7 linked regions of the Cricetulus griseus genome follow. The protein of the gene in region 7 interacts with the protein of the main gene of each other region in a pairwise test. Links are inferred from orthologs where the notes say so. Each region holds a gene or a part of one and is shown on either strand. Other genes may lie near its edges.

What was found.
Region 1: the proteins of Bend7 (region 7) and Nkapd1 interact in binary tests that used the Homo sapiens proteins (3 or more experiments, as listed by UniProt). The two-hybrid records come from large-scale screens. The link is inferred for Cricetulus griseus from reciprocal best matches to the Homo sapiens genes BEND7 and NKAPD1.
Region 2: the proteins of Bend7 (region 7) and Lmo3 interact in binary tests that used the Homo sapiens proteins (3 or more experiments, as listed by UniProt). The two-hybrid records come from large-scale screens. The link is inferred for Cricetulus griseus from reciprocal best matches to the Homo sapiens genes BEND7 and LMO3.
Region 3: the proteins of Bend7 (region 7) and Eif1ad interact in binary tests that used the Homo sapiens proteins (3 or more experiments, as listed by UniProt). The two-hybrid records come from large-scale screens. The link is inferred for Cricetulus griseus from reciprocal best matches to the Homo sapiens genes BEND7 and EIF1AD.
Region 4: the proteins of Bend7 (region 7) and Lyar interact in binary tests that used the Homo sapiens proteins (3 or more experiments, as listed by UniProt). The two-hybrid records come from large-scale screens. The link is inferred for Cricetulus griseus from reciprocal best matches to the Homo sapiens genes BEND7 and LYAR.
Region 5: the proteins of Bend7 (region 7) and Usp20 interact in binary tests that used the Homo sapiens proteins (3 or more experiments, as listed by UniProt). The two-hybrid records come from large-scale screens. The link is inferred for Cricetulus griseus from reciprocal best matches to the Homo sapiens genes BEND7 and USP20.
Region 6: the proteins of Bend7 (region 7) and Mfap1 interact in binary tests that used the Homo sapiens proteins (3 or more experiments, as listed by UniProt). The two-hybrid records come from large-scale screens. The link is inferred for Cricetulus griseus from reciprocal best matches to the Homo sapiens genes BEND7 and MFAP1.

What each region holds. Positions count from the first base shown.
Region 1 is NC_048597.1:162,382,226-162,386,346, forward strand, and holds the start of Nkapd1 (uncharacterized protein NKAPD1), read right to left. Parts: upstream 2,801-4,121; 5' UTR 2,661-2,800; intron 2,590-2,660; exon of another isoform or gene 2,102-2,589; intron 914-2,101; 5' UTR 906-913; coding exon 837-905; intron 1-836. Other genes in the region: Pih1d2 (PIH1 domain-containing protein 2), read left to right, coding at 3,964-4,121.
Region 2 is NC_048601.1:10,636,125-10,640,412, forward strand, and holds the start of Lmo3 (LIM domain only protein 3), read left to right. Parts: upstream 1-1,488; coding exon 1,489-1,513; intron 1,514-4,288.
Region 3 is NC_048596.1:53,963,713-53,967,744, forward strand, and holds the start of Eif1ad (probable RNA-binding protein EIF1AD), read right to left. Parts: upstream 2,801-4,032; 5' UTR 2,398-2,800; intron 1,975-2,397; 5' UTR 1,856-1,974; intron 1,373-1,855; 5' UTR 1,245-1,372; coding exon 1,158-1,244; intron 1,029-1,157; coding exon 920-1,028; intron 828-919; coding exon 719-827; intron 563-718; coding exon 515-562; intron 1-514. Other genes in the region: Banf1 (barrier-to-autointegration factor), read left to right, coding at 3,701-3,823.
Region 4 is NW_023276807.1:107,180,002-107,183,501, reverse strand, and holds part of Lyar (cell growth-regulating nucleolar protein), read right to left. Parts: coding exon 3,490-3,500; intron 3,402-3,489; coding exon 3,318-3,401; intron 296-3,317; coding exon 1-295. UniProt on the Homo sapiens protein: Plays a role in the maintenance of the appropriate processing of 47S/45S pre-rRNA to 32S/30S pre-rRNAs and their subsequent processing to produce 18S and 28S rRNAs. Also acts at the level of transcription regulation.
Region 5 is NC_048599.1:142,696,758-142,701,029, forward strand, and holds the start of Usp20 (ubiquitin carboxyl-terminal hydrolase 20), read left to right. Parts: upstream 1-1,472; 5' UTR 1,473-1,593; intron 1,594-1,897; exon of another isoform or gene 1,898-2,109; intron 2,110-4,272. Other genes in the region: CUNH9orf78 (telomere length and silencing protein 1 homolog), read right to left, coding at 629-688, 1,004-1,086.
Region 6 is NC_048599.1:56,944,767-56,948,266, reverse strand, and holds part of Mfap1 (microfibrillar-associated protein 1), read right to left. Parts: coding exon 3,392-3,500; intron 2,786-3,391; coding exon 2,598-2,785; intron 1-2,597. UniProt on the Homo sapiens protein: Involved in pre-mRNA splicing as a component of the spliceosome.
Region 7 is NC_048596.1:221,924,520-221,928,523, reverse strand, and holds the start of Bend7 (BEN domain-containing protein 7), read right to left. Parts: upstream 2,801-4,004; coding exon 2,740-2,800; intron 531-2,739; coding exon 447-530; intron 1-446.

The sequences.
Region 1 (4,121 bases), on a different chromosome or scaffold from region 7:
TACTACCTATCCAGTCACAGAAGATGGTATTCTGGACTCTACTCTTGTCACATCCTATTGAGTACCTCTTTGCCCCTGCTATGCTTCCATCCAAACCTCAGCACCACTCACCTAGCACGTCAGTCACCTAATCATCCTCCCCAGTACTTCTCTCCACCTTCTATTTCCTACCACAATGACAAAATCATCTGTCTAATCATACATTTTTGTCTTTGAACGTATGGCAATCATACAACCTCATGCTCTCATGGTGTAAAACAACACTTACAGGTATGACACATGTATGGTTCCACTCCTCCATGATGACTTCTTTACTGACCCAAAGAGAAAGTTTACCTCTTAAATCTCATAAAAACAACTCTAATGTGAGACTTGGGCCTTATCTTCGGTCACTATTCCTGTATCTTATGTTTTCTAGATGCATATAATTTCTTTCCCTGAGTGATTAATGCTTGAGGGGTGGGCATGGAATGAAGGACTTTGCATATATGAGGCATTACCAATAAAATACATCACCAACCCCTGATATTTTGCCTTGTATTAGTGCATGGTGATCTCAGTCAAAAACAATGCATCCAATAAACTTTATTCATCAAGAATCAGTTCAAATATCAGCAACTCAAATACCATTTATTCAGTGAAATCTTTCTAATTTCCCAAGGCAGATTTCTTTATTCCTTCCTTAGTGCTCTAAAACATTTTGTAACTATCTTCATGATATAGTACATTTCAAACTATGATTGCTTCTTATACATCTTTGCTCTCTCCCAACATAAGTCATAGTTTACTGTATGCCCTCAAGAGATATTGATAAGTGACTAGATTGTACTGCCTACCTTATTGTGAGCATCTGTATGCCGGATGACATTCCTCAGGAGGACTTTCCCCAGTGGAATCCGAGACATTCTTTAATCTGAAATGAATCAATAGTATGTAATAAATTTATTTTTATTAAATTATAAAGAAACAAAAGGAAAGGGGGGAATCACTGAACTTAGAAGACACAGAACATAGGGGAGAATTTTCCTTTCAGCATTAAAGGCTTCAGTGAACGTTAAGTATGAAGAGGATATGTACAGTAAAAAGTCCTTAAAATTGCAGAAGGCTGCACAAAAATTGCTCCTATGAGCACCATTTTATTTAGTCCTCACAATTTTCTATGTTTTAAGAGTCAAGTAGTCCCTCAAGATCCATGGGGGGGATTGGTTCTAGGGCCCCTAAAGTTAACAAAATCCAAGTGTGGGCTGGGGATATAGTTCAATGCTAAGAGCATTTCCCTAAGCACAAGAGCCATCCTGGATTCAGTCCCCCAGTAACATATACATGCACACACACACACACACACACACACACACACACACACACAATAATCCTAGGGTACCCGTCTCTCGTTTAGAATACCATAGTATTTGCATATAAACTACACTCCTGTGTGTTTTAAATTATGACTTTTTATTGAGACAGGGTCTCCCCTAGCCTCAGTGAGCCTTGATCCTCCTGATCCTCTTGCCTCCACCTCCCACATTCAGAGACAACATACATGCACTTCCACACTTAGGGTGGGTAGGGTATCTAGCTTACTTATTAACACCTAAAACTATGCAACTCTTATGTAAAAATGTTACTATGCAGATCAGAAATAATGACAAAGGGGGGAAAAGGTCTGTACATGATAAGTACAGATGCAATCTGATTACCCAAACATTTTCAGTTGGCTGTTATTTGAACCTGTAGGGATTCCCGAATTTAGACTCTATCCCCACTCCTATTTTGAAAGTCAAGATCCTTTAAGTCCCTCGGCCCCAGGGCGAATAGACCCAGGCAAAGGATGTATATCAGTATCCAAGTTAGAAATCAAATCTCAAACTCCCCAAAATCAGTTTGCAACTAAGCAAACATCTAGATCTGCGGGTATCAACATCACATATGTCAACAGCAATAAATACTGAGTTCTAAAAAAAAAAAAATTAATGACCTAAATATCTCTATTCAGGACATTTTGTTTCCTACAATGTTTGGAACTTTCCGAAACCCAGAAGACAAAGATATTCACATGTGTAGCTACGAGGGGCTTGGTGCCACCGTCCGGATGCTCACTCACCCCTCGATCCTGAGGAAATCAGGCATCTTGTTAGTGTGAGACGAAGAACCACTCCATTACAAGATCTCCTCCGACCCAGGAAGCCAAGGAGTCAGGGCTGAAAGGCAGCTCTGCAGCTTCACCCGAGTCCTTCGTGAAAACGCAGCCTTCCCACCGGTTACAGTGCCCTCACCCGAGGCCCAGGCTACGGCTGCCTTCCCCCAGCCGAGCCCGCCAGGCGGCTCTCTCTCCGGGACCAAGGCCAGAGCGGGCGCAGGCGCGGAACGCGGCCTGCGGGCGGGCCCGGGCATTCCCCGCTCTCGCTGGGCTGGGACAGCGCCCGGCGGCTCGGTTTCACTCCCGGGACAGAATGGGGACACAGGGCATGGACGTGGCCTTCCGTTGGGACCCGGGAAGTGTCTAGGGTGCCTGAGGGGAAGCTGGAGGTTTCCAAGGGGAAGTCGGAAAAAACACCCCCATGTCTGTCAGCGGGCTCCCTGCCCCGCCGCGGCCTCGGCGCTCCCGGCAGCCTTCCCTCGAAACGCCCTCCCCACACAAACACACACAAACACACCCATACCGTGCGCCGCAGCTTCGCGTGGCGGGGTGGGAGAAAAGGCGGCGGCTTCCTTCCGGGCCGGAAGTCGTGCCCCCGAGAAACGCTTCCTCCCCACGGGAGACTCCCTGTGAGCGGGCTCACGGGTCTCCGGGGAAGCTGACAGGTGCAGGAAGGAAGCCGGCACCCTCCTGAGAGGGAGCGGGACGGCCCCTCTGAGGAGCCAGTCCGGCGCTGGAGAAAAGATCCGGAACGGGATATGGAGCCGGCGTTCTACTTTGCACTCCCCGGACACAGTTAGATGCTGTACCGGACCTGGTTACCATGGTAACGGGAGTCGCGGTTTGTCTAGACACTGACTGAAGAGGTGGGTTTCCCCACACTGGGATAAGTTGTGTATTCTTTGTTTATTAAATCTAATCTTAATGCACGATTTAAAGACTCTAAATCTCTTTTTTAAATATTTTTGTGGACCGTTTGGGACACTTCTCCGTTGCGGGAGGAGAGTGATGATACGATCTTAGAATACTACTCGTACATAATATTTATCAAGTGTTCCCGCTTTAAGTATTGGCGTTCTTAGGCCTCGTCTTCATTTTGAGAAGAATAGGTGTATATATATACATTATTTGCTCAATGCAATATAGCTGCCTGTAGTTAGGAAGAACTTAAGCATACTGGCTCCAGTGACCCTACACCTCACACCCCCCACTCCCAGTTTTTTTGAGACAAGGTCTCAATATGTAACCCTTCCTGTCCTGGAACTTGCTCTGTATACCAGTCTGGCCTCGAACGTACATAGATCCACCTGCCTCTGCCTCCAGAGTGCTGGCATTAAAGGTATGCACCACTGCCCAGCTCAGTGTTCCTACTTTTAGTTATTATACTAAGGACTAATGTGCCTCTGTTTCTTTCTTTCTCCCTCCCCTCTCCCTCTTACACACATACATACACACACACCACTCATAATTTCAGGGCTGGGAGACACCAAGTCAGCCAATATTCAACTATTGGAACAATATCAATAGGAAAAACAAGACTTAAAAAGACCTTTCTGTTCCCACTGTGTTTGTGAAGGCCAGAGAGAGGTACAGGTACAAGGTGGGAATTTAGGAAGTGGTTAGACTTACAGGCTGTAGAAGAGCCAAGGTAAAGCAGAGTGGTTACACAATCTTTTAGACATAGGAAGTAAGAACAGTAAAGAGCTTCCCCAAAACAAAAGCCCCCTCCTCTCCTGAAAGAGGAAGTAAGGCCATAGCCACACAGACATGTATTTTCTCAAGTCGTGTCTTTCCACAGGTTCTGGAGGCCTATCTCATCACCAATCATGAGGGCATCCTCAAAGGGCCTTCTCACCCAGATTTCCCAGTTCTGGAATATGCTCGACGATTTGGCTGAAAATGATCCTGAGCGCTACAAGAACTTTATTGAACAGGAGCTAAAAGATGGAAAAAAGCTCTGTGTGGACCCAGAACCACAATTCTG
Region 2 (4,288 bases), on a different chromosome or scaffold from region 7:
GGCTTCCTTCAGCTCAGGCTGCTCGCACGCTGCTGGGGTAAGTTGTCTGGAGCCAGGACCAAGAGAGACATCCCCCGGACGGCAGTTGCCTAAAAGAAGGACACCTGTGGCTCGCATGCAGTCCACACTGGTACTTGGCGGATCCTGGAGGACCTCATTATTTTAAACTTAAAAAAAAAAAAAATAGAGATCCACCCCCCCTTTTTTTTTCAAACAATGTTTCTTTTTGACCTTTCCCAAGGAGAAGCGCTACCAAGCAGCCTCTGTGCTCACTGAACACCCTCCCCTGTATCGCTTAATTGAGAAGGTAAGTAAGAGGCTGTGTACACACGCGTCGGCTTATTTGTGCTGTGTGTGTCTCCGGGTGCGCGCGTGCGTGTGCGGATGTTGGGTGGTTTTCTTCTTCTTCTTCTTCTTCCCTATCCTCTCCCAATGAAGCATAAAGTAAAGCTGCACGCGAACCATCACCACCACCACCACCACCGCTGCAACTTTACTGGCTGCAGGTCTGCAGAGACGATTTCTGTTTGTTTGTTTTGTTTAAATCGTGGGAGGCATCATTATTTTGTATGATGAGACACAAAATAGATGCGGGGCGGAAGATGAGGATGCCTGAGGAAGAGGGGGAGCGTGCGGCTACAGCGTGACATCTCAAGTAGGAGTCCAGAGCATAATAGACAAAGTTCACTGGGAGCTGCGGCATCCAGACACCCTATTCCGGAAGAGGGGTTGAGACAGTTTGCAAAGGTGTTTTTTTTTTTTTGGGGGGGGGGTAATGCTTCCAGACTAAGGGAAGTGGTGTCAGTCTCGGGTGTTTTCTCAGCCCTCTCCATGCCTGATTGGTGAAATCCGTGCCCTCCCCAAAGAAAGAGTTGAAATTACAACCTTGTTCTTGCCCACACCCCTGCTTCTACCCAAGGCAGCTCTAATAACAAAACACTGCTTCTGTGTGTTGCAAAAGTGACTATGTTGGACCATGCAAAGAGGAGACAAGTGTCCAGTAGAGGCAGGTTCCTTGGATTCAAGTGCCTGCATCCTAACAGGTCTAGAGATTCAGCACATTCTAATCGGGGCTACTCAGATTGCTGTTATGAAACGCAAGTCAGATTTATGATCTTTTTCATACCGAACACGATATGCTATGCTAACACTGCGTGTGACGGTTTAATCAAATCCATTTGTTACCAGGAAGCTAAAAGGGGCCGCTGGGATTTTAGGATTACGGGCAGAGTTAGGGAAGCATGTGGCTTTGTCATTCGCCATCATTTTACACGTTCCCTTGTCCCTTCCCCCACCGCCTGCCTCCCTCACCACTAGACCCTAGCTCCCAAAGTGGCCTCACAATAGTGGATCCTCGGCCCTGTACGCTGCTCACCAGATCCACGCTTGGGCCCCAAATCCAAAAGTGACTCCCCTCTTCTACTTCCTGCCTGTGGGCTTGGTGCTCCATGCGAAGCTGCAGCGGCTCAGGCACGCCTAAGACAACTCATGCAGAAACAGGAGAAAAGTTTTGGTAAGGTTACAGTCTTTCATAGATGCACTTTCTCGGGGCGCTCGGCACTCGTGGCTAGCTCCAAAGCCTGCCAGTTCTTCTGTTGCTGAAGACACGAAATATTATTGTGTCTACTGCTTTTAAAGACTGCTGCTTTCCACCAATTAATCTCGCTAGGTGCCATAAATACTGGTACATTCTTTGCAAAACCATTCCTGTGTTGCTGCAAAGACACAGCCACAAAAGGTTGGATCATAAACTCCGCAAGGGGATTCTTTGTTAGAGTGTATGTATGTTTCTTATTTTTTTTTTATTTTGCATGTGAGCTGCATCAAAATTGAACCCAGTCTTGCAAATCTCTTGTTGGCCTTTGCCAAGCACTAGCACTTTGCTGCCATGGTAACTGTAATTAAACTGATAAGAGTGGGGAAATGTCAGTATCTCTGAGCCTTGCAGCTGCATTGGAGAAAAAGGGAATCAAATTGGTTCCCAGCTCCATTGCTCAAAAAGGGGAGGGTGGTGGAAGGACACGGAGGGGGGTTGGGAGTTGAAGGGGCAGAACAGAGTTAAGCAGCTCTAGTGCCAGAGATTTGGGGACATCTATTTGCATTGTTTTCCCTTAGGGGGCTGCAGCCTGTAGGGGTGCTCTGGGCCAGTGAACAGAGAGAAACAAGCTTTTAGGCCCAATCCAGTTTTCCAATCTGGGTTGGGGGGAGTGACTGGGAGTGGGATGAAGATGGGCAGGAGGAGAGAAAATCTTTTGTTTGGTACTCTTGGCAATCGAAAGGCTGTGTTGGCCAAATTCTTTTAATCTATGTCATTGCTCCCAGCTGCGAAACCTGCAGTCCCAATTTTAGCATCCTCTCTTCCAAAAGCCCTTCTGACAGAGCCCCTTCTCCTTTTCCCCAAATTGTCCTCTGTAAATCTTCTGAAAGGGAAAGAATGTTTCCCATTCATTCTGTGTGATCAGTCCAAATAATACATTGGTGTAAAAAGAGAGAGAGAGAGAGAGAGAGAGAGAGAGAGAGAGAGAGAGAGAGAAGGAAAGAAAGAAAAAACACTGTGCCTAAGTGCTGCGCATCTTTCATTATTGTGATTATTTTTTAAGCCCCTGTGTGTTGTGGAGTTGTGGTTACTTTGTTGTGTTAACTACTGAAGCTAAGACTGTGCGGATGAATGACACAGAACAAGGGAACATAATGGATGCAATCAACCGTCAGGCCTTCTCACAATGCAATCCAGGCAATTAAAAGCTCACCAGAGTTTAAATGAAACGGTTCTACTTATTTCTGCACAGCACACTGCACAGGCTATTATTTATGTCTTTTTTGAAAATTATGATTTCCCTTAAACTGTCAAATAACTCAGAATGGCAGGGTCTCAGAGGCAATAAGAATTTCCCTCAGAACAATTTGCATGCCAATCTAAAACTAGTTATGAGTGCTGATGGGCTGTGAGCAACTTGTGAAGTGTCTCTTAGCCACGAACACATAACTCTCCCCAGACGTACTCTCTTGGATCAAGAGCAGAGACTGCTCAGTGCTTTCTGCTTTTTAGGTGCTTGGCACCGTGGTGACGACCAAGTGATTGTTTGCCTACATTTTTTTTAAATGCATAGAATGGAACAGATTCCATTTGCAAGAGAAAAGGGGTTAGTGTTCTTTAAAAGAAGATATGAGGATGGAATAGAAAATATCAAACTTCTTTTATACACAAGGCCAAACAGAATGAAAGAGTTTCAGTTATTAATTGGCCTCTGGGTGCTACATTAAAATGTCAACACAACAAAAACGCTTTGTGAAGACAAGCAGTATAATATTCCTTGTGCCAAATGTTGGTATCTGCTGTCTTGGTTACAATTTATTTTGAATAAAGATAGCTGAACCTTTACACTTAATAATAATGTCACAAACATTGGAAATAATGGAGCTTAGCTTCCTAAGAAGAATTCCTTTTTCATCTTTTAGGTGTGTGATATAAAAAACACAGACTTCAAATTAGATAATTAGGACGGTTACCTTTAGCATACCTCTGTATGCTTTCAGTCATGAAATCCGGACTTCCTTAGTAAATCAGAATCCCCCTTTTCCCCCAAGTATATGACTAAGAGGCACCTGGGCCTGTTGTGCACTGTAATTAATGGGACTCATGCCTGTGGGACCTTGCTAGCAAAGGATAACTAGTTCTGATCAAAGAAACTTCATTTGTTAGAAGTTCTAGAGAGTGAGATTTAGCAGAGCTATCAAGGGTTATGATTAATCTACACTAGGCCCTTAGCTCCTTCAAAGAAAAGGAGCAGAAAGCAGGCTACAGGGGTACCACCTGCTCTTCAGCACAAATCTGCTGCTGGTCCACAGCTCAGAGCACTACAGCCATGCCTGTCAGGCACACAGAACAGCCACCCTGCTTTCTTCCCTGCATTCCCTCCTCTGCTGCTCTACCACACAAGTTGTTCTCCGATGAAAGCTCAGGAACATTCTAATATTATGTGTAGTTCATGTGACATTGGTAGCTGGGAAACTCATTTGGCTGTGGGCATACGTTCATGCCCCTTACCAATGTGATTTTCTTTTACAGGCAGAGGAGGTAATGAGGGCTGAACCCTTCATCACACGGTATCAGAAGGAAGGAGAGAGTTTACTTATCTTGAGGAGAAATGAATCATAAATGCTTCATTTTCCATTCTGAAACCCTCTTAAATGCATTCATATTTGGTGCTTCATATCTTTGTCTATCTAAGTTTAAAACTTTATGCCTAGGAGAGGAAACAGTGTTAATGGGTGGTCTGTGGATTGC
Region 3 (4,032 bases), about 170 Mb from region 7:
TTTACTTTGCATAATCCTGTCTCTTAGGTAAACTCTTGTTTTTGAGAAAAGATTTCATGTAGCTCAGGCTGGCTTTTTTTGGGGGGGGTTTCCTTTCTTTTTGGGGGGTTTTTCAAAACAACGTTTCTCTGTCTCAATTTGGAGGCTGTCCTGGAACTAGCTCTTGTAGACCAGGCTGGTCTCGAACTCACAGATATCCATCAGGCTGGCTTTGAACCTGATTCATGTACACAATGCTGGTTCAAACCCCTGCTTCCACCTTGTAATTGCCGGAATTACAGGTATATACTACCACACCCAGTGGTGTGAAGATATTAAATACTGTACCTAAAGTCACTTGCCTATTTAGTAGCAAAGCCAGTATTTTAACTTGGCCTTTAAGCTATACCCATAACTATCCACTCTACTGTGTATGTTAGAGTTCTCAACAGAAAAGCAGGATCACCTTTCTCCTTGAGGCACCAAGGTATGAAATTGTATTTTTGTCTTCCCTGGGCTGGGGCTTGCTCCTCACCTGTTCATACTGTTTTGTTTCTCAGCTACCTCAGAGAAGGCCTCAGGCCTGTGACAAAGAGAAGATCCAGGTCAGAGAGTGAAGAGAAACCTTTTAGCAAAATAGCTGTTTCCAAATGTCCTCTTGGGATGGCATAACCTCACCACCCCTACCCCATTCCATAGCTAAGATGTTACCACACCTAGAAGCTAGAAATTATCCTACCAGTGGCCCTCCTTCTGCAGAGAACGGACATGGTTCTTGCAGAGCACAAAAGATATCTCAGCCTTCACTTTCTCTCCCTCTTCAATAGGGTCAACAATGAGGAAGTCCCCTGTAAGTGACAAAAGATAAAGGCATTCCCATGTGAAGGAGAAAATCAAGAATCAAGGTCATGGTTCTGTACTGTACAGGGATGCCTCTAACCTCTTTTGATCCAGATGTTCTTTCGGTATTTGGAGGGCATGCTCACCAGGAAGCGCTGCCCTTGTGCCGTCTCTACCTCATGCAGATTGTTGCCGGGAGTCCTCAGGACCTGGTGCAGGAAAGATCAAGAATTAGGCACATCACCAGTTAGATCAAGCACACACTGACCTGCACTGAGCCCTTCCCACATCCCAGGGGTCCGGTGGGCGTAGAGAAAAGCTGAGACCCATGCTCTCACCTTCACTATCTGCTGTTGGTCTGAGGGCACCATGTGCTCTCCCAGCACCTCCTGCACCACGTGTTTTCTCTTGGTGGCCTGAGACATGCTGGGTTCTGTCCAGGGTTGTTAGGACGCAGACAACGTCAGCTCTTCCAGAGTTATGTGGATGGCAGTCTTAGAAGCCAGGACTGCTCTCAGGAGAAGCAGCCTTATAAGAGAAGTGCCACCTTGCCCTGTTAAAAACAAGAGCTTTACAGGACTGGCGACTTGCTGCTCTTGTAGAGAATCTAGGTATGGTTCCCAGCACTCACAGAAGCTACAACTGACCCTACCTCCAACACCCTCATTTTGAGACATACATGCAGGTAAAAACACTGATAAACATAAAAAAAAAAATCACTAAAAAACAAGGCACGTGTTTAGCCAGATGCTGGTGTATGCCTTTATTCCTAGCACTTGGTATGCAGAGGCATGCAGATATTTGTTGCGTTCTAGGTCAGCCTGGTCTACATAGTGAAACCCTGTCTCAAAAATGAAGCAAACATGACGTTTAAGGGCCGGAGAGATGTCTCAGGACCCAGCACCCACATCAGTTGGTTCACAACCATCTCTAACTCCAATTCTAGGGGAATCCAATGCCCTCTTCTGGCCACCAAGGACACCTGTAACACCCACACACAGTAAAAGAAACCAGGAAACATGTCTTATAGTCTTACTTGGAAGAAAGGGGGATGGCTCAAGCCTTAAATCTCAAGACTCTAATCCCAAACCACAGAGGTAGACGAAAGCATATGGAGGCCAGTCTGGTCTACGTAGCGAGATATCCTCTCAATAACTAACAAAAAAAATGTAAATAAGTACTGACGTGACGATGAAACCATACGCACCTCCCAGGCCGATCATTCTGACAACCTTTTGTTTGTTTTTTCCGAAACAGGATTTCTCTGTGTAGCTTTGGAGCCTATCCTGGAACTAGCTCTTGTAGACCAGGGTGGTCTCGAACTCACAGAGATCTGACTACATCTGCCTCCCGAGTGCTGGGATTAAATGCTTACGCCACCACCGCCCGGGCTGACAACGTCTTTGGGGAAGTTTGAGTAAACTACTTTCCTCCACATGCTTTAACACCCCCAAGTGTAGGTCAGCCATACAACAGATGCTCGTCCTCCTAACACTCATGGTGTAGACTGACTCGGCCACCACCGCAGCGCTTCAAGCCGAAAAACCCTTCGAGAAAAGAGCCGCCCACAGCACTCACCCGCTCGGCGTTACACAAGCAAGCTACGTTTTCCAGGTAGACGCTGAACGCAGCTCGTCTACGACTCACTTCAAGACGGAGTCAACAAAAGCAAAGAAATGCGACTGGCAGGTGGTCACGACGGTCGCGCCGGTTTGGACGCCTGGCCTCAGACCACCGGTGTTCCCAGCTGCCGTCAGCCGGCTTCAGATAGACCTGACTCTGAGGAACCCGCGAGAATTGCACTTCCGGGGCTCTCAGTAGCCCTCCGGATGCCCCGCCCCTTCTTTGTCCGTTCCTTTAGTCTTCCCTCGACCAAGTCAGGCCACCTAAGTCTTTAAGTTCCAGGTGCTGGGCAAGAAAAAGATAACAGTATTCTCCTCGGAGGCCTCGGTCTCATAGATGGGAAGCGGGGCCGGAGAAACACGACCATAGAAAGCAGCGCGGCTTCCTGTGAGGGACCGGAAAACAGCGACCTCTGTGGGCTCCGCAGTTAGCGGTTGCGCCTCAACTCTATGGCTCTCTGTGGCTAGACGTGCCCAATTCGGGTATTTTTTTTTTAAAGGCGGCTCCTGACACGACCCGGAAGCGGAAGTTGAAGAACGTTCTAGCAACTTGAGGTATCGGCTGGAGCTGCCGAGTGGCGGGAGGAGCCGTTACGAGAGCCGGAGCTGCCGGTGAGCGTGAGCGGCGAAGTAAGGCTCCGGCTAGGCGGCGGAGGCGGGAGGGAGAGGAGCGCCCGTGGCTGAGGCGCGTCTCTGCAGCGGACCAGCCTGGCCTTGCGGGAGGGGCGGTGCGCGGAGCGTGGGAGCCGCGGCGCGTGCGAGCCGCGGCGCGTGGAGGAGGCGGGGCGGCGCGTCCGGGGCGGGGCCTGGGAGCCGCGAGGCGTGGGCTCCGGCGGGCTGCGGGAGCCGGTGCGCGGCGCCTGTTGGCCTGTGGAGGGCGGCGAGGGTAACGAGCCCCTCTTTTTGCTGCTATTTCTACCACGTGGTAGCTCCGGTCGGGGTCAGTGTTTGCCTGGCCAAGGTCACCAAGAGTGACAGCTTCAGGGCGGGCCCTGGCTGCTGAGGCTGTGAGTCTTTCTCTACGTGCGCCACTTGTTAGTGCAAGCTCATTACCAAATCCCAGGGCCCACAGAAAGTGGAGATTTCAGGATGTAATAGCGGGGGAAAGACTTTCCCTGGCCCCCAATTTTCTCAGGTGTGAGATGAGGGGGAATCGAGGAAGCAGCCACAATAGCTGACCTAGGAGGTTGCCCTTGGGAGTTGTGGTCTTCAGCCCTAACCTGCCTTTTTTTGGGATTCCCAGGTTAAACCTGATCAAGATGACAACCTCCCAAAAGCACCGTGACTTCGTGGCAGAGCCCATGGGGGAAAAGCCAGTGGGGAGCCTGGCCGGGATTGGTGAAGTCCTGGGCAAGAAGCTGGAGGAAAGGGGCTTTGACAAGGTGTGGGGTGGCCACAGATGCCAGGGAGGGGTAGGAGTGAAAGTTGGCAACAGATGATTCCAAGCAAAAAAATTGGGAGTTAGGAAAAGTAGGGGTACGGGGAGGGCACGGACAGTGGTAGATAATTTGAAGTGGTTTGGGGGCATCTGGGGAGGCAAAGTCATTTTTGTTGTTGTTTTGGAGACAGGATCTCTGTCTCACAAGTGCTG
Region 4 (3,500 bases), on a different chromosome or scaffold from region 7:
GGGCCCTTTTCTTTTCTGGTGGGCTGTTGGCCTTGGTGGTCTCCTCCCCACCAGCCTCATGTCCAGCCTCCTGGCCCTTTTTGCGCTTCTTCGTCTTTTGGACCTTCAGGTTTTCTGATTTCAGCTCTTTTTTCTCTTTCTTCCTATTCTTCTGTCGTTCTTCCTTCCTTTCTCTTTTATTCTTCTTTGCCTCTACTTGTTCTTCTGTGGTGCCATTTGTTTGGGCAGATGGAACCTTAGTGGGGATCTCTGCAGATGACTTAGCCACATGGCTGGGTGGCTGCTGATCTTGCTCCTTATGAAGTAAAAACAAGAATCATCTAAGTATCTGGTCTGGCCACACCTATTGTCCATACCGTACTATTTATGACTGTGACACCAACAGCTAAAATTTAGCAATACAAGTAAAGCACGCCAAAGCTCACATCCTGATCTGGAACCCGTTTTCATGATATTAAAGGGTGAAATGAAGCCAGTCTGCAATTTTGGCTCACTGTCACCCTTTATTTAGATGAAGACAGAATAGCCAGATGCAGGATGTCATACTGTGGAACACTAGTTGAAGATGCGTTACATGTGTTTATGCTGTGGAATATTTGTTTAATGATGCAAAGATGTGTTGCATTCTTTTATGTTGCATTTGTTTAACTCTGTGAAGCTGTGTTGCTTTGCCTGCTTAAAACACCTGATTGATCTAATAAAGACCTGGATGGCCAAAAGCAAGGCAGAAAAGGGATAGGTGGGGCTGCCAGAAAGAGAATAAATAAGAGAAATGAGAAGAGAAGAGGACACAAGGAGCCAACCACTCAGCCACCCAGACAGACAGACACAGAAGAAAAGACAGACAGAAAGAAAAGACATACAGAAATAGAAAAAGGTAAAAGCCCAAGGCAAAGGGTAGACAGGCTAATTTAAGAAGAGCTGACTAGAAACAAGCCAAGCTAAGGCAAGGCATTTATAAATAGTAAGTCTCTGGTGTTTATTTGGGAGCTGGGTAGTGGGCCCCAAAGAGCAAAGAAACAAAAACAAAAACAAAAACAAACAAAAAAAACTACAGTGCTAGGGAGCTGTGTCTGCTTCATCTGTAGGACAGGGCATGTGTAACCCTCCGTGTACAGCAGACACAGGAAAGGTATGCAGTGTGTAGTGCAGTGGACACAAGGCTGGTAAGTGCTGTGTAAATGGAACACAGACAAAGGCAGTCACATCATCCTTCTCCAGATGAGATGGCCATCCTTAGGATGGTCACAGACAGCTACCAGTGTAAAGAATGGGAAGTAAAGTCTGCTAGGGTTTGAGTGCCTCTTGCAGGGGCAGACATTGCAGGATGGCTTCGGATTTGATGGAACCAGAAGAGGCAGAACCTCAAGACAGAGGGCCTATGGTAGTTAGGTCATCAGGAATGCTGCCCTCACCTTGTTAGCTTCCTGCCAACCATGTCACCACTTCCAAAAAGGCTCCCATCACAGCACTACCTGTGTCTGCCAGAAGCTAAACAGATGAAACCACCTCATCTTAGACTTCCAACCTCCAAAGTTTGAGCCAGCCAAGCCTCTTTCCTTCACAAAGAGCCCAGCCTGAGGTTGGTGTAGCCCAGAAATCCAAGGCACTGCATGCACTGGCTGAAACAGACTTTCTCTAGTAAGAAAGGGCAACAGGTTCCATGCTAACAGTCCCCTTTCTGCTATATTCCCACTATGCTGATCTCTCAAGATATAGGAGAACAGTTCACTGAACTGCCTGTAAGTTGTGGGCCTCTGCAGAGGGAGGGATAAGGCTGCCCTAGGTGCTGACCAGCCTGGGTTGAGGCATTCAAAAGCATGACAGCAAGTTCCACTCCTTGGTCACAACCAAATGATATGGAACAAGTTACCCAGTCCTCTCTGCAATGCCAAAATGAAGGCAAACCAGACTTCACCTGGTGTACTAACTCAGTCCCCTGGGAGGGCAGCACTGGGAAGCAGACTAACTGTTGAGGATTTCTCAGAAGCTGACAAGGCTCCCAGGGAAAAGAAGCTTAATGTGAATGCAGAAACAGACCCAGGAGGAGGAATGGGAAACACCCTTTACCCTTTCCCTACGACTGTCTTCTTCTGGTAAGTTATTATAATATATTAGCCAGCTTCCCATTGCCATAACGAACACCTGAGGTGACTAGCTTAGAAAACATTTAGCTGATGATTTTGAAGGTTCCTGTCCAAGACTGAAAAGCTGTGGGTCTCAGGCAGGGAAGTAGCAAGGTAAACCACTTGCTTGTCATAAATCTGAAAGCAAAGCGAACAAGGAGCTGAGGTCTCAACATCCCATCAAAGGCATGTCCTCAATGTCCTAACTTCCTCCCACCAGGCCTCACTTGCTAAAAGCTCCACACCTCCCAATAGTGTCAGAAGCTGACGAGGAGACTTCAACACATGGGCCTTTGGGGACATTCAATACTAGTCTTGCTGGTTAGAATTTTAGAATTTAATGCTAATGTAAATAACTTGCTGCACAAGACCAGTCAGAGCATACTCCTGCTTTCAAACCACTGAACATAGTTCCCAAACAGGATGTACATGGGTGCTGTAATTAACAATAGAACCAACAACTTGTATGAAGAACAGCAAGCCAAGTTCTGTTCCTATGGTTCACACCTAGGGGCTCTCTACCCAATTACTTTCAATAGTCGGTTAATGGTTCAAATGCTCTCCCTGTAGCAGAAGCAGGCCCAGGCTGACTGACCACCCATTAAATACCCACAGTATAGCTACAACATGCAGGGAGGTGGTCTGGGGCCCCACACACTCTTGGCTGAAAGATGTGTTGCCCTCGGCCTGCTTAAATTTCTCTCACAGCACCAATCCACTTCCGAGATATTTGAGGTCTACAATAAGTAAGGAATAACTAAGAAGTGTATAGTAGCACAGATGTTTTCGATTAGAACACTGAGGATCCAAGGCTAAGCTAAATAATGTGCATACTCCTGCTTTCAAACCACTGAACATAGTTCCCAAACAGGATGTACATGGGTGCTGTACATTGATCAAACACAGTGGAGTCCAGTCAGTCAGACATCAAATCCTGGGTCACTCCCATTTACCCAGCCCGACCGCTGTGCCAATCATTCTACAAAAACTTGTCCCACTGCCCAGCATGCTGAATGCTGAAGGCTGAATGCTGTCCTGCACACTGTCCAGGTGCTCCTACCTCATTCCTGCCCATCAAAGAGAGAGCATGGAGGCTCTCTGGAAATGCCATCTCAACCACCATACACAGCACCCCATTCCATTATTCCCAGTTGTCTATCAGACTGTAATTGCAAGGCAGAGTGGACTCACACTGCTGGACGCTTCAGAGAAGATGTTCCACACCTGCTCCAGAATAGCATCACTGTGCACTTTCAGGCTGTTCCTCATCCAGTTCTGTAGATATAAAGAGAAAGCCGTTGTCGCCTCTGACAGGTCACTGATGGGCCACACCTCAATTTGGGAACAGCATTTAAATCCATACCTGAAATTTTG
Region 5 (4,272 bases), on a different chromosome or scaffold from region 7:
TAAACTCTTATCTGTCAACACGTTGTCATTCACAATTCATCCGTGCAATTAAAAACTCCAATTAGGGCTGGAGAGATGGCTCAGAGATTAAAAGTACTGGCTGCTCTTCCACAGGTCCTGAGTTCAATTCCCAGCAACCACATGGTGGCTCATAACCATCTGCAATGGTGTGCAAGTATACATGCAGGCAGAACACTGTATAAGTAATAAATAAAATCTTGAAAAACAAAGCAAAACAAAAAAAACAACTCCAATTAGCAACAGGGTGGTGGTGATGGCTCATGCCTTTAATCCCAGCACTCAGGAGGCAGAGGCAGGCGGATCTCTGTGAGCTCGAGGCCAGCCTAGTCTACAGAGCAAGTTCCAGGACAGGCTCCAAAGCAATACAGAGAAACCCTGTCTGGAAAAACCAAAAAGCAATTAGTGACCTGGAGTAGACTCTGATACCACCAGGCTCAGGGCATGTGGCAGTTACACATTTGAAAAAAAACTGGTCCCCTCTTCGACCAGTGCAAGGTGTATGTCTAGAGAAAGAACTATGTCGAAGGAGATATTTGTAACTGAGACCCTAGCTGGAAGTATCTGTGTCATCAATAAATGACGCCACCCCCACCCCCATGGTACCCACCTCACCCCGTTTGGCCTCTTCCTTAAGTTCTGCACCTCTCGGGTTTCTTCAAGTTTTAACCTGGGGGGAAATGAATAAAAAGCAATGCACAGGCTGAGAGATCCTCTGCGGAACTCAAAGCTTAACTCAGTTCCGGGGACATCCGTGTCTCTCGGCCGAGTCCCTGGCACTGTGGATCACCGGCAGTCAGACCCATGCGACCCCGGAGCACCTTTCCGAGCTTCGGGACCGGGGAAATGTGGCCTTATCAGCAGGAGCCTCTGAAAGACAACAACCCTGGCTCCCGGTCAGTGGTGTCAGCGCAGTGCCGGCCGGTAGCCAGTCCCAAGGCTGTTTCCCTCTTCCTGGGCCGTGGAGGTCATGCCAAACACGTACCGAACCTCCTCTGATTCCTGCTCATCTTCCTCCGACTCCGAGTCAGCCCGCCGCCGGCGGAAAGTCTTCCCAGTGATCCGCATAGCGGCACCAGATCTTAGGAGCGGCGTTACCTGCCGCGTAGTGCCGGGAACCTCTTTCTCTTCCGGCGCGCAGAAGTGTCGTCAGAGGGCCGGCTGCATGCAGACCCGCCTCCGGGTGTCCAGGCCGCGCCCCAGCAGCATAGCCACCAGCTCCCAACTCCAAAAAGCAAGGGCAGGTACAGCCGCGTGGCCACGCCCCAGCGCCGAGACTGTGCCCTCCACCAGCAAGACAGTCTTCGAACCACGTGGCCACGCCCCAGCAGCACGGCCACTCCCCCTACTCCCAGCATGCATGGGCACTCAGTACTCGCACGGCCACGCCCCCAGCACGCACGGTCCCGCCCCCTAGTAGGCAGCGCCATGTGACCCCGCCCCGTCCTTGGCATAGGCTCTCTCGATTGGACAGCTGACGGTAGGGAGGCGGGGCACGACAGGCAGAGCCACAAGACTCTGCGCGGCGTCGCGGTGGGCGCGCTTGACTGACAGGCGGCGCGGTTGCGACGGCAGGTGAGTTCCGGACGGCTGATGCCTGGTGCGGTGGGCTGGGCCGCTAGAGCAGGGACGATCGCGCCGCCGCTGCGAACTGGGGAGGCCTGGCTTTGCGGGGCAGCCGCGATCTGGGGAGAGGTCCCCGCCGCCCACCCTCCCATCGACCGGCTCCTGTGTCCGCCCCAAGTCCCCACGGCCCTGGCTTCTCCTGAGCAGGCCGCACGTCGCTCGGAAGGCCAGCGCGAGGCCACTCGGGCTCTGGGCCTCAGATGTGCAAATTTATTTCTCACGGACAAAAGCTGAGCGCCTTGGCGGGGGTGAATATCAGTCCCGATACCAACTCCCCCGTACCAGGGTGGTCTGCTGCTACTGGTCCCTAGGAGGGATGCCACTGACGTTCAGAGGCCTCTCCAAGGGTGTGAAGCCGGGGACTGCCCTTCGAGAGCTCGGGGTGTCTCCTTTGGCCTGGAGGACTCGCTCTGTCCTACACACCTTCCACCGCCAAGATGTTGCGAGAGTAGTTAGCTTTCAAAGGTATCCATAAACACTTAGGAGATGGATAAGTGCATGCGTAATGGCTCACATGGGACTTATAGGGACTCCTTAATTACTAGTTTCCTCTGGAGCAAAGCACTTCTTAACTGTGGCAGGGCTAAGCATTCTCTCCTAAAAGTCTCCGGTCTAATCTCACGAAGTAGATGCAGTTGGGTCTGTCTTCCAACTGAGGAAGTTAGAGAAGGCTGAGGCTTAGAGAAGTAACCTGTGCTTCAAGTTACACAGCTGGGAAGGGGAGCTCAGGTGGGGGCATAGTTTTCCCAGCTGTGGGATTTGCATCAGGGACAGCGGGCCTCTATGGCATTCCAGTTCATGGGCTGGGGCGGGGGGGGGGGGCGGGAGACTGATGGAGACTTTTTTCTGGAAAACTATTCTAAAGCAGGGAGGCATGTCTGCCATGCTTTGGCTTTTCTCCAGAACAATTTTCTCTGAGGTTGTCGTTCCTCTTAAACTAGGACAAAGAAGACTGGGATGTCTTGAAACAGCTTTTTTGCATTAATGAAAAATACATTAAGTATCGAAGTCTTGACCTCCCAGCAAGGCTGTTTCAGCCATTGTTAAATGTGTATGGCACTCACTGGACGCCATGTCTCTGTTGGCTGAAAAAGAGATTCCGTGGGAACTGCTGCACAAACCCAGGGAATTGGATTACAACTCTCACAGGCTCAGGGGTGTTTTTGTTTTTTAGATGTGTTCTGCCTACATGTATTCCTGCAGGTCAGAAGAGGGCACCAGATTTCATTACAGATAGTTGTGAGCCATCATGTGGTTGCTGGGAATTGAACCCAGGACCTCTGGAAGACCAGCTAGTGTTCTTAATCACAGAGCCATCTCTCCAGCTCCAGAGGTAGTTCTTAATTTCCCTGCCTGGCCATGCCCTGCCCCGTATCCCCTAGGGTACTGGGCCATGCTGGTACTGGCAAGGAAAGAGTCAGATGGTCGGGAGCATTTTCATACAGTCCTTATTTGAAGACAGAGAGGGACATCTGATACAAAGCCACCCTCGTCCTTGAAGCCGGAGTGCCAGGTGACATCCAATTCCTGGGCTGTGGCAGATGGAGTTGATTCTTGTTTAATTCAAGTGCTGATTAGAGTGTGGCAGCCAGAAATTGACCTAGGTGCCTGGGTGGAGAGACTTCAGCTCCTGTGAGTCATGTTCTTAAAAGTGAGACTGCTTCTGAGAGGGAACCTTCAGGAAAGTGAGGGGTTTTCCTCTTCTAGTTCAAAGATGAGTCTCCAGTTTTAGTTTGGCTTGGACGTTGGGAATGGTGTGGATTTCTCTGTGGAGCTACATGGATGCCCAAGGAGCAGTCATATCTCGATGGTCCCTGCCATAGTAAGCATTCAAGAAATGCTTGTTTGAGCCAGGTGGTGGAGGTGGACACCTTTGATCCCAGTACTCAGGGCAGAGGCAGGCAACCTGGTCTACAGAGAAATTTCCTGGACAGCCAGGACTACACAGAGAAACCCTGTCTCAAAAAAACCAAAAGATGAAGAAAAGGAAAGAAAAGAGAAAGAAAAAAAACTTGTTTGAAGGGGACTGGGGATGCGGCTCAGTTGGTAGAATTCTTGCCTAATGTGCATATGATGCACCCTGGGTCCAACCTCCAGCATATAAACCTGGCAAACTGTTTCATGCCTGTAGTCCCAACCCTTGGTTGGGTCAGAAGTTCAGGGTCATACTCAGCTACATAGAGAGTTGAGGCTAGCTGACTTAAGTCTGGCCCACATTTGACTATCTCAACGTTAAGAAGTCATCTTGGAGCCGGGCGTTGGTGGTGCACGCCTTTAATCCCAGCACTCGGGAGGCAGAGGCAGGCGGATCTCTGTGAGTTCGAGACCAGCCTGGTCTACAAGAGCTAGTTCCAGGACAGCCTCCAACCAAAGCCACAGAGAAACCCTGTCTCGAAAAACCAAAAAAAAAAAAAAAAAAAAAAAAAAAAAAAAAAAAAAAAGAAGTCATCTTGGAAAAAAAAAGTGAGGTGTAGTGACACACTCCTTTAATCCCACCACTTGGGAGGCAGAGGCAGATGGATTTCTGAGTTTGAGGCCAGCTTGGTCCACTGAGTGAGTTCTAGGCTAGCCAGGCTACCTCCTTGCTCCTTCCTTCCAAGCCGCTCCTGAGCCGTCCTCCAGAGAGCA
Region 6 (3,500 bases), on a different chromosome or scaffold from region 7:
AATCTACCAACTGAGCTGTTATTTCTTTTTCTTTTTAATTTATTTATTATGTATACAGTGTTCTGCCCAGGCCAGAAGAGGACACCAGGTAGAATTACAAATGGTTGTGTGTCACCATGTGGTTGCTGGGAATAGAACTCAGGATCTCTGGAAGAGCAGCCAGTGCTCTTAACCTCTGAGCCATCTCTCCAGCCCCCTGAGCTTTATTTCTATCCCTAAATACAGCATGACTTTTTTTCCCTCTTCTGGTAATAGGATTTGAACCCTGGATTTGATACAAGAGGCAAATGCTTTACTACTTAGTCGTATCTTCTGCTGTTTTATTTTATTATCATTATTACAAAAAAAAAAATAGCAGGGCAGTGGTGGCACACGCCTTTAATCCCAGCACTTGGGAGGCAGAGGCAGGCGGATCTCTGTGAGTTCCAGGCCAGCCCGGTCTCCAGAGTAGACTCCAAAGCTACACAGAGAAACCCTGTCTCGAAAAACCAAAAAAAAAAAAAAAACCACAAAAAACTATGAGGCTATCCTGGTCTATGATACATGTTCCAGGACAGCTAGGACTACATAGAGAAAACCCTGTCTCAATTACCCTCTCCCATACAAAAAAAAAAAAAAAAAACTTTAAAAAATTTCATGTACACCTTTAATCTGCACTTAGGAGGCAGAGACAGGTGGATCTCAGTGAGTTTGAGGCCAGCCTGGTCTACAAAGCAAATTACAGGACAGTAAGGACTGTTACACACAGAAGCTGTCTTGAAACCACGTCCCCCCCCAAAAAAAAACCAAAAAACCAAAAAAACAAAAAAAAAAAAACCCAAAACACAAAAAACATGTGTTTGGATGCCTTGTCTACATGCATGTCTGTATACTGAGTTATCTGCCTGATATCCATAGAGGCCAGAACCTCTTCTGGTTCTGAAACCCATGAAATTGGAGTCACATACAGTTATGAGTCACTGTATGGCTCTTGGATATTGAACCCAGGTCTTTTAGAAGAGCAGCAAGAACTATTAATCTCTCTTTTTTCGAGACAAAGTTTCTATGGCTATCCTGGAACTCACTCTGTAGACCAGGCTGGCCTTAAACTCATAGAGATCCACCTGCCTCTGCCTCCCAAGTGCTGGGATTACAGGCGTGCGCCACCACTGCCTAACAGAACTATTAATCTCTGAGCCATCTCTCCATATTAATATTTTGAGTGTACTATGTATAGGAATGTATGGTATGTGTACATGATGGTGAAGCTCAGAGGACTTTTGGGAATTGCTTTTCTCCTTCACCATATGGGAACTGGAGATTAAGCTAGCTTCATCTCAGGTCTTTACAGCATCAAACTTCCCTTAATCATTTATCACTGACTCCAATAGGATTTAACAAGAATCCTATTGGGCTGACTGTAAAATAGGATTCCTAAGCATTAGGAAATAAAGAAATTTGTTTTATAAGCTTAATTTTGTGTTTAAAACATGATTTTCCCTGGCAATGTGTTAAAGCACTTTCCTAGCATATGCATGGGCTTCATCTCTAGTATCACTAAATCAAAAACAAAACCTCAACAAAAATTGATTTTGTAAGCCCAGCACTTAAGATTCTGAGGCAAGAGGATCACAAGTCTGAGACAGTCTAGGCCTCACAGTGAATCAGGCAGCATAGCCAGAGCATCTCAAAACACAAACATAGACACACCCGGATTACCTTTATGTTTCAGGATTATGTGATCACACCATGAACCATGAGATTGTGTTATTTAAATAAAATCAACCATAGGTCAAGAACAAGCAACTAGTTGACTGGAAGTAACCATAGAGAGTGAGGGAAAGTTGGGAGGTTGGAGAGAAAGGCACAAGAAGTAGAAGGGAGGGACATCCAGTTGGAGGAATTTTTGTTTCAGACAGGATAGGGGAAAAACAGAGAAGGAAGCAGCTGGGTGCTTTCTCTGCCTCTCTGAGCAAGTGGGTTTTCACTCCAGCATCTGGCTCCCAAGTCTTTACTGATAAAATAGAACGATAGAGACTTGGTTAAAAACAACACCTTTTGTTGCAGATCTGCAAACATCTGGCTTCTTCTCAGCACTTTTGCTATAGGGATAGGGCACTGGAAAGAAGACTTCCTTTACAGGAAAAAGTGGGATTCAGAACCTTTTATTGTCAGACTGGAACTTAATCATGTGGATTCTGTCCTTTTTTAAAAAATTTATTATTTATTATGTATACAGTGTTCTGCCTGCATGTATCCCTGCAGGCCAGAGGAGGGCATCGGATCTCATTACAGATGGTTGTAAACCACCTTGTGGTTGCTGGGAATTGAACTCAGGACCTCTGGAAGAGCAGCCAGTGCACTTAACCTCTGAGCCATATCTCCAGCCTGATTCTGTCCTGGTTTGACTAATTGTTCCCTTTTCCTCTGCTGGGGATTGAACCTAGGCCCTTGTGCATACTAAGCAAGCATTTATCACTGACCAATATCCCTAGTCTCCTTTGTGAGAATTAGCTAATTTTGTAGCTCAGAGTGGCCTTGAACTAGCAATCCTCTTACCTCAGTCTACTGAGTGGCTGGGAACACAGCCTGGCTTAGCAGGTGTGGCAGACACTTACTTTCTAATGAAGACAGGCTTAAGTCGAGGCTCCATTTCATCTTCACTGTCTGTGTACTCCTCATATTCAGACTCTGACTCCGACTCCTCCCCAGAGCGCCCTTCATCTTCTAATTCCATGACTTCCATCTCTTCATTTTTCCTCTCCTGTGCTCGCTGACGCATCATGCCACGGCGCCGCTCTATTTCCTATATCAAGGCATACAGCTTAGCCAGTTATTCAAATGGCCTGTGCGTCAAGCTTGTTTTCTTGGTGATAATGACCAAATTCAGGGCTTTGTGCATAGCAAGTCTAGTCCTACTACTGAGCCCTCAGCATAGCTTTGATTTTGTCTTCAACAGGTTCAAGAAATTTTGACACGGTTAAGCATAATTCAGCATGATTTCATCTTCAGTCTTTATTTTTACTTACTTACTTAATTAATTAATTTATTTATTTGCTTTTTCGAGACAAGGTTTCTCTGTGGCTTTGGAGGCTGTCCTGGAACTAGCTCTTATAGACCAGGCTGGTCTCGAATTCACAGAAAAGTGTCTCTGAATGGACATTTGTTTGAAAGGCTTATTCATCATGGTCAAAGAGATCTGCCTGCCTCTGCCTCATTAGTACTGGGGGTTAAAGGTGTGTGCCACCACTGCCTGGCCTCATTTTCAGTTTCAACCCCAACAAACAGGAATCACAATCAGAGTTCAGACAGAAGTAGCAAATTTTGTACATTTATAGCCTCAACAAATCAGCACTGTTCTCAATTTTTTTCTTGTATCCTGGGGGAAAGAATTCCATATTATTCCTTTTACCTCATCATCAATTTCTTCCTCTTCTTCTTCGCTGCTATCTTCTCGTTCCATGCGCCAGGCATCTCCTTCTACTTCTGAATCACTTTCTCCTACCACTTCAGGTTCTACT
Region 7 (4,004 bases):
TATCCCACCCAAGGCAGAAGCAAAACCAAACAAATAGCAGCTTCCTGGAAATTGAATTTCTGTTATCCAGATGTCAAAGATGTAATACCCCAATTACACAAACTATTGCCAGTGAAGCATGCCAGCGAATATGCAATGTAAATGGGGTGAGCACCGAGCGACAAAACTGCGCAGTCAGCATCTGGCTCTGTGACTGAGTGATAATTAGCACTGTGTGTAGACACTAATAAACATTTATGTCTGAAATTACAACTTTTAGCAATGTTAATAAGGGATATATTGGCAATCTGTAAAATAAAAGGTCTTGAATGAAAAGAATGTCATACATTAAGCGATGGCAGACATTTCCCCTTCTTGCACAATCTCTTCCCCCAACCCTGCCCCTGAAATTGCAAATGGCCACACCATGCTGTTTTGCTGAGAAATTAATTGACATAGGAACCTACCTAAAAAAATGGGTTGTGTCTCTTTGGTCTCCCCATTAACATCATTGCTGAATTCTGAGATCTTATACACCTCATGGTGATAATCTGGCACGAGAAAATAACCGAAAATTAGAATTTTAATGATTTCAAGAAAGAGGAATAAGCAATTCAAGACTCCCGTTCTCTATATGTGTAACTTACAGGTATATTTTCAAGACTCTCACAGAGATTGTAGTCAACAGAAACCACTCAAACTTGGCTCTCTGTGAAGTACACAAACTTTAAACATTACTTTGACTTTACAGACAGCTATGCTTGGTTAGTTTTCACAGTAAAGTTTGCCCTCAGATACCAATTATCAGGTTTCTTTTCTCTGAGACAGCAAAGACATTTGTAAGAAAAAGAAAAATCTTGCCGATTTGAGGGCCAGGGGAGTCTCCCAAATTTATTTCCACTGCCCATTTTTGAGAGCATCTCACTAGTAGTTTGCTTCAAAACTACCTCTTGACTCAGTTTACTCAGAGCATCTAAGCTTCAAAGTAAGCACATTTTTTTCCAAAAAGATACTGATGTGTTATTTAAAAAAAAAAAAAGAGGATACTTCGAAAAGAAACAAGATTTTTACCTTTCACATAAGTTAATCTTTTGCATTAAACTACTGTACTTTATTGAACACAAAATAGTTTTAGCATTCCTTCAAAAATTTTTTTGAAAAGCACCTGCACAGCAGAATCAAACTCATCTTAAAAAAAAGAAGGAAGAACTTGCTATATCAGATTTTCAAATACAACATCTTAAAATTTCCTGTGGAAGCTACAGAACTTTGGTAACTTTACAAAGTGGAATCACTCGGGTATGAAAAGAGAGGTCTCTTTCCATCAACTATCCAAGCTTTCACAGGACAATGTGACAAAACTGCCCTCTCTTTTAAGACAGAGTAGTCAGTTCCCGGAGGTCATAGACAGAAAAGCAGCCCCTAGTCCTGAATGGAGCACATTGTATCAACAGGGCCATTACACATGGAGAGATTTACAAAGTACAAAAACCGAGTAATCAACATCCTTGTTGGTGGGGTGGGGTATACCAAGAAAGAAGAGCCAAATATTTTGAATACATACACTATTTCAGGCCTCTATCATTAAACAGTACAAAACTAAATTAGGGGAAACACAGATGAGCAGATCCTCAAAATGTCTATAATTAAACCATTTCCAGACTAACCAAAAGTAGGCTTCATAGAATCCTTCTTTCAGCTTAGCTGAGTTTGAGAAACTTGATGGCTTGAAATCACCCTCCAATATCCATTTGTTTACACGTGAATTCTCAGGTCCTTGGAACAATCACGTGGTTCTCTACTCTAATGCCAATGCTAGATAAAAATCACTCAGGGAAAGTGGACAGGTTCTGTGATTTGGCTTTGACCTCAAGTTGATTCATAGATATTTAAAGAAGGTGGATTGAAACTAAGTATTAGGGCCCGTGACATTACCATGGGGGTGGAGGGATGTCACCCCTTTCGTTTATTAAGGTGACACAAGACATTTTGACAGGTGTATTCCTTATCTTGAGTTGTCATCATTTTTTAAAAAAAGACTCAGATCAGGAAGATCAGTTCGAATAAGTAACAGAACCCAGGAGACACTATTCAACTTTCTCCTCCCCGGACAAAAAAAAAAAAAAAAAAAAGCATAAAGAGTGTGCTGTACACCTGTTAGTCGGCAGGACCTAGCTGGGATTTTCTTTCTTTCTTTCTTGTAATGACACTTTGGCTGACTGGTAGGCGATCTAGTCTTAAAACACCTTTCCACCCAAACCACTCAACTAGAAAAGATGCTGTATGTCAACAATTTCTGTTTTCAGCTTGGATCCCTAATGAGCTGATTCTTCTTAGAAAGAACAATGATCATCTTTTTCCCCCTCCCTTCTCTTTGCGGGGTGGAAAAATGAAAACAAAAACAAATCTCAGTATATGGTCGGCCTGCCGGCCAGGCAAACCGTCAGCCACCTCAGCCCAGCGGCGGCCACGGCGGCGGCACCCCCGAGAGGGCTCGGCTCCCCGGTGTCATTGTTTGCTAATTTCCTGACGTGCCCTCCGACTTGTTTACCTTCAATAACACCCTGTGGGTCCCCTCAGGCACAACTTTCCCCGCGGCGGGGCGTGTACGGCCCGCGGGGCCCCAGGTTCGGGCGGGGATGAGGGGGTCGTGGCGGGCGCGCCCCCGGCGTGGAGCCCGCGGGCGGCCGGGGCGCGCGGGGCCGAGTGCGCGGAGCGCGGCGCCGGCTTCCCGCCGCTGTCCCCGGGCCGGCCGCTTACCTCGGCTCACCAGTTTGAAGCTCTGGGATTTCCTGCTTCTTTTCCTCTCGGAGAACTCCATGGTGCGGGCAAGGTGGCGGCGCGGCAGGAGACTGAGGCGGCGGCTGAGGCGGGCTCGTGGCACCGCCGCGGAGCCGCCGGGACCAAGGTCCGCGTCTCGATCGGCGGGGGAGGCCGAGGGACGGGAGGAACCACCGCGAGCCCGGCCGGGGGCTGCGGGAGCGGGCTCCCGGGCGAAGTTGTCCCCTCGCGCGGCGCCGCCTTCTCGGTGTCTTAGGCGCCCCCTTGGTGTCCCCTCATGCCGCCTCGCTCTTTCCCGAACGCCGCCCGCCGCAGCCCAACTTTCCGCTGGGAGCGGGGCCGGGCGGGAGCGCGAAGCTGCAGGGTGCTCGCCGCGGCCCGCCTGGGCTCAGCCTGCGGACGCGGCCCGGGGGACGCGGCTAGCCGAGGGAGGGCGGCGGCGGCAGCGGCAGCGGGCGGCAGCGGCGGGTGCGGAGCGGCGGCCGGGGCGCTGACCGCCCCCGCGGGAGGAGGGGCCGCGCCGGCGGAGGGGCGGCGCCGCCGGGACCCGGGGGCCACCTGCTGGCGGAGCCCGGCCGCCGCCATCCCCCGGGGGCCGCCGCCACCACTGGCCTCGTCCACGCCGCGCCCCAACGAGGCACGGAGGCCGCAGCGCAGCGTCCGTGGTGGCCCGGGCTCACGGAGCTGCCCCCGGGCGAACACCGCGCTCTGCGGGGCCTCCCTCCGCCGCTCCGGGAGGCGAGCTTGCCTTTAGAAATAAGCCAGGGATCACAGCTCCTCAACCGCCAGCCTTCGCTCTGTCTGAGAGGCGGGCGGTGCCTGGGCCAGACACCGATTTTAGGCAACTTTTAGCAGGGGGTGCAGAACTTACCCATCCGCGTTTTACAAGCAAACGGGAAGAGATTCGAGAATGTGATGCTGAGAAGACTATGGGAAAGAGTGAAGTTCGATTCTTTACCCCCATCCTGAGAGCTGTAGGAGGAAGTTATATGCAAGGGGTCTGCTTGGAATGGGGCTTGGGGGAGGGGAGTACAAGGGGTGAGGAATACAAGGGGTGCAGGCTCGTAGGGAAATTGGTCATAGCAGGTGCAGGGGACTCTGCCACTTGACGCAGAGATACCAAGATAATTGACGTCCACAGATGGCCATCGGTAGTTTTATGTAATATTCTTCTTTGAGGAGCTAAGAGTGCACTCGCTGTAGGCGCCATTTCTTACAACATGTTTTAAGCGGGAATAAGAAAG